Saccharomyces cerevisiae S288C: one gene and its partner. The gene in region 1 interacts genetically with each later gene. Each region holds a gene or a part of one and is shown on either strand. Other genes may lie near its edges.

Region 1 (3,520 bases):
TTATAACTCCTCTGCATGCCAGTCTATCACGAGTTCGCCTACAGACAATACAGCCTTGGCACATAATTCCAAATGCTATTTCCCTCATAGCCTTTCTCCAACACCGCTGTCATCCAACAGCTCAAGCCATGTCATTTTGCCACCCATATCCTCCTTCACCAATTTAATTACAGTTGCAGAAAGAGAATTTAACGGCAGATCAAATTCCTTGCATGCCAATTTTACATCACCGGTGCCAAGAACAGTGCTAGATCATCACAGACATGAGCTAACATTTTGCAACCCTAACAACACAACGGGTTTCAAAACCATCACCCCCTCACCACCAACTCAACACCAGAGTATATTGCCAACCGCGGTAGATAACGTACCGAGATCAAAATCCGTGTCCAGCCTACCCGTTAGTGGATTCCCACCTTTGATCGTCAAACAACAACAGCAACAGCAACTCAACAGTAGTAGTAGTGCCTCTGCACTACCGTCTATTCATTCCCCATTGACTAATGAACATACAAGCAGGTATTCATCGTCTTTAAAGGATTCCGCCAAGATAACGAAGCAAAGAAAGAAAAAGGAATGCCCCATCTGCCACAACTTCTACGCCAACCTATCTACGCATAAATCCACTCATTTAACTCCGGAGGACAGACCGCATAAGTGCCCTATCTGTCAACGCGGCTTTGCCAGGAACAATGATCTGATAAGGCACAAGAAGCGCCATTGGAAAGATGAATTTATGCAAATATACGCAAGGGAGTCCGACAACAATAGTGGTGCTGACGATCAAGATGACACTGCCCGCACCTCCGCAAACAACGACAGCGACGACTCAAACGATAAACTCGCTGCCTCATCCTCTTCCGAAGAAACAAAACTACTGAAGAAAAACCAATTGAAATCACTATACAAGATTAAAGGTGCATTCAAGTGTCCTTACAACTCTACTCTGATCAATTTGGATATGGAGGTGTATCCACACAAGTCTAGATCACTCTATTTCGAGCCAATAAACTGTCATCAAACGGGCGTTTTTTCGCGCTGTGATACTTTCAAGAATCACCTAAAGGCTTTGCATTTCGAGTACCCGCCCAAGACCAAGAAAGAAGATAGAGGTGTTGTGCCGGGGAAGTGCAAGCATTGTGGACTGCAATTTCCGAACGTTGACGTCTGGCTAAATAAGCACGTGGGGAAAGGATGTGGCTACTCATATCACTAAAACCAAAGTCATTCACCGACTCATACATACACACACATACATACATTTATTTATTTATGCCCTAATAATACACATCATTTCTGCGTAAATTATTGTTACGCTGCCCTACGTTATTAATCTAGATTCTTGTTTTCTCTCTGTGTCTCGTTTCTCTTTTTAGGCATGAAGCGAAAAAATCAACAACCGCTATTGACAGGAAGCAAGCTGGCATGAGCCGTTTTTTTTACTTTTTTTGATTTTACCAGAAGGGCGTTGAGACCTGCATCAGCCGTTTGCGGATAGGTTATGCCAGTGATGAAGCACCTGATTCAACTGCCGGCTCTCCGATTGGTCTCCGATCGTTTAGTTCCTTATATTGTACACTATTTCAGCTGTACAAGCCTAGGCCCGAATCGAATTATAAGTCCGTCCGGCTCAAGTCATGGACTCATTATCGATTCGTCTTTTTTTAGCTGCCCCCACGTTATCTCTTCTTTTTTTTTTCTCTGCATCGCGGCGAGTCCCTTGAAAGGGTCGCGAACCTTCGAAGCAGCACTTCTTTTTTTCACATGAGAATGTAGTCCATTGCGTAAATCCAGTCTTTGCGGCTTTCCCTTCTTCCTCATCATATTGTTGACCAACTCCAACAGAAAAGCACATTTCCTCTTCACCAATTTTCTTCTTTCTTTTTTGAAAGTACGAACATGTAAGGGACATTGGACATTATGTGCTCGTTCATGTATAATATTACATGAGGTAGTTAGTTACGTAAATTTATAAAAACGTATCGATGAAAGTTGCACAGAAGTAAAAAGTAAAGTATACAAGTATTACGTCGACTTCTTAGGTAGGTAACAATAATAAAAAATCAATTACGTAAAACGTATGCTGATAGTATTATTCTTAACATTATTTTGTTCGGTAGTGTTCCGAACAGCTTATTGTGATGTGGCCATTGTGGCTCCAGAACCCAACTCAGTTTATGATTTATCTGGTACAAGTCAGGCTGTTGTCAAAGTAAAGTGGATGCATACAGATAACACACCACAGGAAAAGGATTTTGTCAGATACACGTTTACTCTGTGTTCGGGTACCAATGCCATGATAGAAGCAATGGCTACTCTTCAAACACTCAGTGCGAGTGATCTGACAGACAACGAGTTCAATGCGATAATAGAAAACACCGTTGGGACGGACGGTGTTTACTTCATACAAGTCTTTGCGCAAACAGCTATCGGTTACACCATTCATTACACTAACAGATTTAAACTAAAAGGGATGATTGGTACAAAAGCCGCTAATCCGAGTATGATAACCATTGCACCAGAGGCACAAACAAGAATTACCACAGGAGATGTGGGTGCCACGATTGATTCTAAGAGTTTCACCGTTCCCTACAACTTACAAACAGGTGTTGTGAAATATGCTCCCATGCAACTCCAACCGGCTACTAAGGTAACAGCAAAGACATGGAAAAGGAAGTACGCGACCAGTGAGGTAACGTATTACTACACTTTAAGAAACTCCGTTGATCAACATACTACCGTAACACCAGGGTGGTCATACATAATTACAGCTGATAGTAACTATGCTACGCCGGCCCCTATGCCGGCTGATAATGGCGGTTGGTATAATCCACGCAAGAGACTCTCTCTGACTGCAAGAAAAGTTAATGCTTTGAGGCACAGATAATGAAATAATACAAAAAAAAAATTTATGAAAATGGACAAATCGATTTATTATATTCGTTAACATTTTTTCTGCTTAATTATTGTTATTCTATTTTTTTTTTTTTTTAAATGGATGAGCTGTATTCCATTTTAACCAGTAACGGTAATTTTTAATACTAATAAAAAAAGGAGACAAATAATATAGTATTAGTTGTAATTCATATTGTGTTTCTGTTTAGTACATATGTTAGTACATATATTCTTAATATGCTATGATAATGAGATACGAGAACCAGAAGAAACACAAGAATCACTCCTTGTGCTCCTCATCGTCATCGGCAATGGCAGAAGAGTCCTCTTTTGACTCTTCCTTGCCGTTTTTCTTCTTATTTTTGGGGAATTTAGGCAAGTTTTTCTTCTTATGGCCGTTAAAGGATCTTGATCTACCGCTGAAGTTTTTGGACTTCGAGGCCTCTCTCTGTAAATCAAACTGTTTTTTCGTCAAAACACTCAGTTTCTTACCTTCATATGACAAAATTTCGTTGGACTCATCGTCATTGGAATACGATTTCAAAAAAGCTTCACATTCTGGAATTGTCTTAAATTCCACCAAGACCGTACCATTAAATTTCTTGTTTCTGTGATCTCTTCTCAA
Region 2 (4,414 bases), on another chromosome or scaffold:
CACGTAGTGTTTTCAGCCCCCAGCGCCTGTCGGCGCGAAGAGGATCTGCGGAGATGAGCTTTGCCCCGCCATTACCCGTAAAATATTACTGTTTTGGGCAATTGTGGATCAAAAAGGGAAAATGCGGATGGTGAAAAAAATTTTTGGAAATTTACTGCTTCAGATGGGGGAACTTTGTAAGTTCTTCCTTTTTTTTCGTAGAGGTTGGAAAATTCAGAGTGCTAAGAAATTAAAAGGTATGCACTGCCTATTCTCATAAAAGCAAAAGTGCACAAAAATAATAAGGTGTGAAGCAATAGTAGAAAAGACACTGGGAACCCAAGGTATCTTATTTTAACAGATAAGTAAAACTAAGATCAAATCGCGTACTGATATCACTTAAGGTTCGCGTATTTTAAAGGCTACGCAGAAGAGGAAATAAATTGCGTGCAATCCCTGCGCTTAACTCATACAAAAAGGCGCAAAACATTTCAAGAGTCCCACGATTAATTGCAGAAATTGAAAAAAAATAAGTAAAGACGAAAATCAAAGTGGATGCCATATTATGAAGCAGGAGCCACATAGACAATCCGAAGAAAAAGAGAAGCCGAAAGGACCAATGGCTGTTGAACGAGAGCAGCATACCTCATTATCTTCTGGTACAACCGTGACAGCTAGTACAGGAGACGAGAGTACCAACAGTAGACCAGTGGAATCATCGCAAACAGAAAAGTCTCTATCGCTTCGAATAAGAATATTAAAACAACTTGGGTTTGACGATATTCAAGAACTAAATGCATGCGACACTGGCCTAGTGGAGCAATTTTTAAACGTACGATTGATAAACGACACAAAAGAACTAGAAAAGATACGCGAGTCAAATCTTGCGAAACTAAACCAGATTATTGATAAATGTATGGAAAGTGATAAAATAAGTGATTCGACATTAAACAAGATTCTTGATATGTCCATGAATAGAGATACAAATAATGATAACAACAATCATCTTACGATACCGTCTCCGATAACGACAAAGAAACGCAAGATAAACGCCTCCGAACTTGCAAGTCCACGAGGCCATAGAAGATATAGATCTGATATACCTACAGTGTCAGAAGTTGAGACAGGGGTCGGATACCCTCAAATACACCAGCAACCAGGCGCATATACTTTACCTATGCCTGCAAATCAGTGGATGAGCAACCCGTATATGCAACCTCCGCAACCACAAGTGCAACAGATAATGCCGCAGTATTTATATCCACCAGGGATGGGACCACAAGCTCAGCTTCCTACAATGAGCTCAAACTCGGAGTCCCAGACACCAGTGATGAGCTCACAGTTTCTTTCCTTGAACCAGCATGGCCTTTACCAACAAAATATAGGTGCTCATCCGGTAATGAGTATGGGCCCACAGGCAAATATATACGGGCAGCAGCACCAGCTGCAACCTGGTCAGGAACGAGACCAGTCAAGAAAAAGTTTTAGTCATAGAAGGTCACAAAGTGCCAATATTTCCATGGCAAATTTTAGGTCGCCCATGCGAAATCCCCAGCCGGCTTCGTCCCAAAGGCCCGTCAATTTTCTCATTCATACACCAAAACATCCTCCTCCCACATGACGTGCAGTAATTTTCATTTTTATCACCTAATTTCTAAAACTATATCCCTTCCTAACCTTCATTCGATGCATCCGTCCACCTTACTTCAGTTCAAAAAAAAATATATATCCATATATATGCTACAGTGTTATTATTACGATTTCTTTGCCTTTACTCCTTATCTCATTTCAATCATGAATAAACAGGATATTGATAATATATGCTGTCATTTTGGATTCAGTCTGCTTAACTGTCTTGTCCACCCCCGGTGTTCTTACCCGTCTGAGCGGTCGTAAGACGGAGGTAATAATTTTTCAGCATCCTGACCTCCCCCCCAAATCTGTGCCTTTCACCACATTTTTCTCGAGAAAATGTGTCTTGGCTCAGATGATGTCGTATGAGCTACTGGACTTTTTTTTGTTGGCCCTGATGAAAATAGTAATGGCGGTTACAGAACAGATAAACGGCGTCACCATCTTTTCCTAGATAAAGAAGCAATCTCTAGATAATGGGGTATATAAATATACATTGTAAAAACGGCAAGTCAGTTGCTGGTCATTTTAGTAGAAACTCTGCTCTCAAACTTGAGTACTGCAACGATGGCAGGAGCAACATCAAGTATAATTCGGGAAAATGATTTTGAGGACGAGCTTGCGGAGAGTATGCAGTCATATAATAGAGAAACTGCAGACAAATTGGCTTTGACTAGGACCGAGAGTGTAAAGCCAGAACCGGAGATAACCGCTCCGCCTCACTCACGCTTTTCCCGTTCTTTCAAGACAGTTTTAATAGCTCAGTGCGCTTTCACTGGGTTTTTCTCCACAATAGCAGGTGCCATCTACTATCCAGTTCTGAGCGTTATAGAAAGAAAATTCGATATTGACGAGGAATTGGTGAATGTCACTGTTGTAGTATATTTTGTATTTCAGGGTCTTGCCCCCACATTCATGGGCGGGTTTGCCGATTCACTGGGCAGGAGACCGGTGGTGCTTGTCGCAATCGTCATTTATTTTGGTGCCTGCATCGGTCTTGCTTGTGCTCAAACGTATGCTCAGATCATTGTGCTAAGATGTCTACAAGCCGCCGGTATTTCACCCGTGATTGCGATTAACAGCGGAATAATGGGAGATGTTACTACTAGAGCCGAGCGCGGCGGGTACGTTGGATATGTTGCTGGATTTCAAGTTCTAGGTTCTGCGTTCGGAGCCCTTATCGGTGCCGGATTATCATCTAGATGGGGATGGAGAGCCATCTTTTGGTTCTTAGCAATTGGATCTGGCATTTGCTTCCTAGCCTCGTTTTTAATTTTGCCAGAAACAAAGAGGAACATATCCGGGAATGGTTCTGTCACCCCAAAATCATACTTAAATAGAGCTCCCATTCTTGTTTTGCCAACAGTAAGAAAATCATTGCATTTGGATAATCCAGATTACGAAACATTGGAACTGCCCACGCAACTAAATCTACTGGCGCCCTTCAAGATTTTGAAAGCTTATGAAATTTGTATACTTATGCTAGTCGCTGGATTACAATTTGCCATGTATACTACGCACCTTACGGCGTTATCCACAGCTTTGAGTAAACAATATCACTTGACTGTTGCAAAGGTAGGATTATGCTACCTTCCCTCCGGTATCTGCACATTATGTAGTATTGTCATTGCTGGAAGATATTTGAATTGGAATTACAGGCGCAGATTAAAATATTACCAAAATTGGTTGGGCAAGAAGAGATCAAAGCTTTTAGAAGAACACGACAACGACCTTAATTTGGTGCAACGTATCATAGAAAATGATCCCAAATACACCTTTAATATCTTCAAGGCGAGGTTGCAACCCGCATTTGTTACCTTGCTTTTAAGCAGTAGCGGATTTTGTGCGTACGGATGGTGCATTACTGTCAAAGCCCCTTTAGCGGCCGTTCTTTGCATGAGTGGATTTGCGTCGCTGTTTTCCAATTGCATTTTGACTTTTTCAACAACTCTAATAGTTGATCTTTTTCCCACGAAGACATCTACGGCTACGGGATGTTTAAACCTTTTCAGATGCATTCTATCTGCTGTGTTTATAGCTGCATTGAGTAAAATGGTAGAAAAAATGAAATTCGGAGGTGTTTTTACATTTTTGGGGGCTTTAACCTCCTCGTCATCGATCCTCTTATTTATTCTCTTGAGAAAAGGTAAAGAATTAGCCTTTAAGAGGAAAAAGCAAGAACTGGGAGTAAATTAAGAAGTAAAGCTTCTTGAATCAAAGGAAAATGTTCCTTTTGATCGCTCCACTACCGAGAAAGAGGAATTGGTGTGATAAGTCTTCTCAAATAGAAAGTAATAGTAAGTATTTTTTTTTTTTTAATCTGAACTCTGTAATAACTAAAATTAGAGTTAGCAGCACGATTCACTAACATAGAACGGCTAGTACTGAGTTTTGCCTTTATTATTCTCCGCCATTTTTTGCCAAGGCCGAAAATATGCTGGAGGTGCGAAATTCGGAGATTCGGGTTTCATGTTTCTGGCCCGGTTGTTAACGGACCCTTTATCTCATCTTCTGATCTTGGAGTTTCTTCTAGTTGATAAAACCATGGTGAAGCTGAAAGGTTTGAAGAATCTCTATCACTGTAGCAAAAAAATCTTCTTACAACAAAAAAAGTAAGCAAGCAATCAGCGTTCAAAGGAACTTATTCTTGCTTAAAAAAAGTGATAATCTCTTAGCACTACCATCTTCTATTAATAAAAAAATAACAGATAGCTCATGAAGAGACTTCTATAAGTAAATCATGACCAAACAACAAACTTCTGTAATGCGTAACGCATCTATAGCCAAGGAAGAACGTGAAGGA

What was found.
Region 2: mutations in KNH1 (region 1) and QDR2 are lethal when combined (synthetic lethality), as found in Saccharomyces cerevisiae (one large-scale study listed by BioGRID).

The regions. Positions count from the first base shown.
Region 1 is NC_001136.10:364,435-367,954, reverse strand, and holds KNH1 (Knh1p), read left to right. Parts: upstream 1-2,080; coding exon 2,081-2,887; downstream 2,888-3,520. Other genes in the region: STP4 (Stp4p), read left to right, coding at 1-1,216; tRNA maturation protein LHP1, read right to left, coding at 3,176-3,520. UniProt on the Saccharomyces cerevisiae protein: Involved in cell wall beta(1->6) glucan synthesis.
Region 2 is NC_001141.2:130,066-134,479, forward strand, and holds QDR2 (cation transporter), read left to right. Parts: upstream 1-2,178; coding exon 2,179-3,807; downstream 3,808-4,414. Other genes in the region: POG1 (Pog1p), read left to right, coding at 545-1,600; QDR1 (multidrug transporter), read left to right, coding at 4,352-4,414. UniProt on the Saccharomyces cerevisiae protein: Multidrug resistance transporter involved in resistance and adaptation to quinidine and to the herbicide barban (4-chloro-2-butynyl [3-chlorophenyl] carbamate). Implicated in potassium uptake.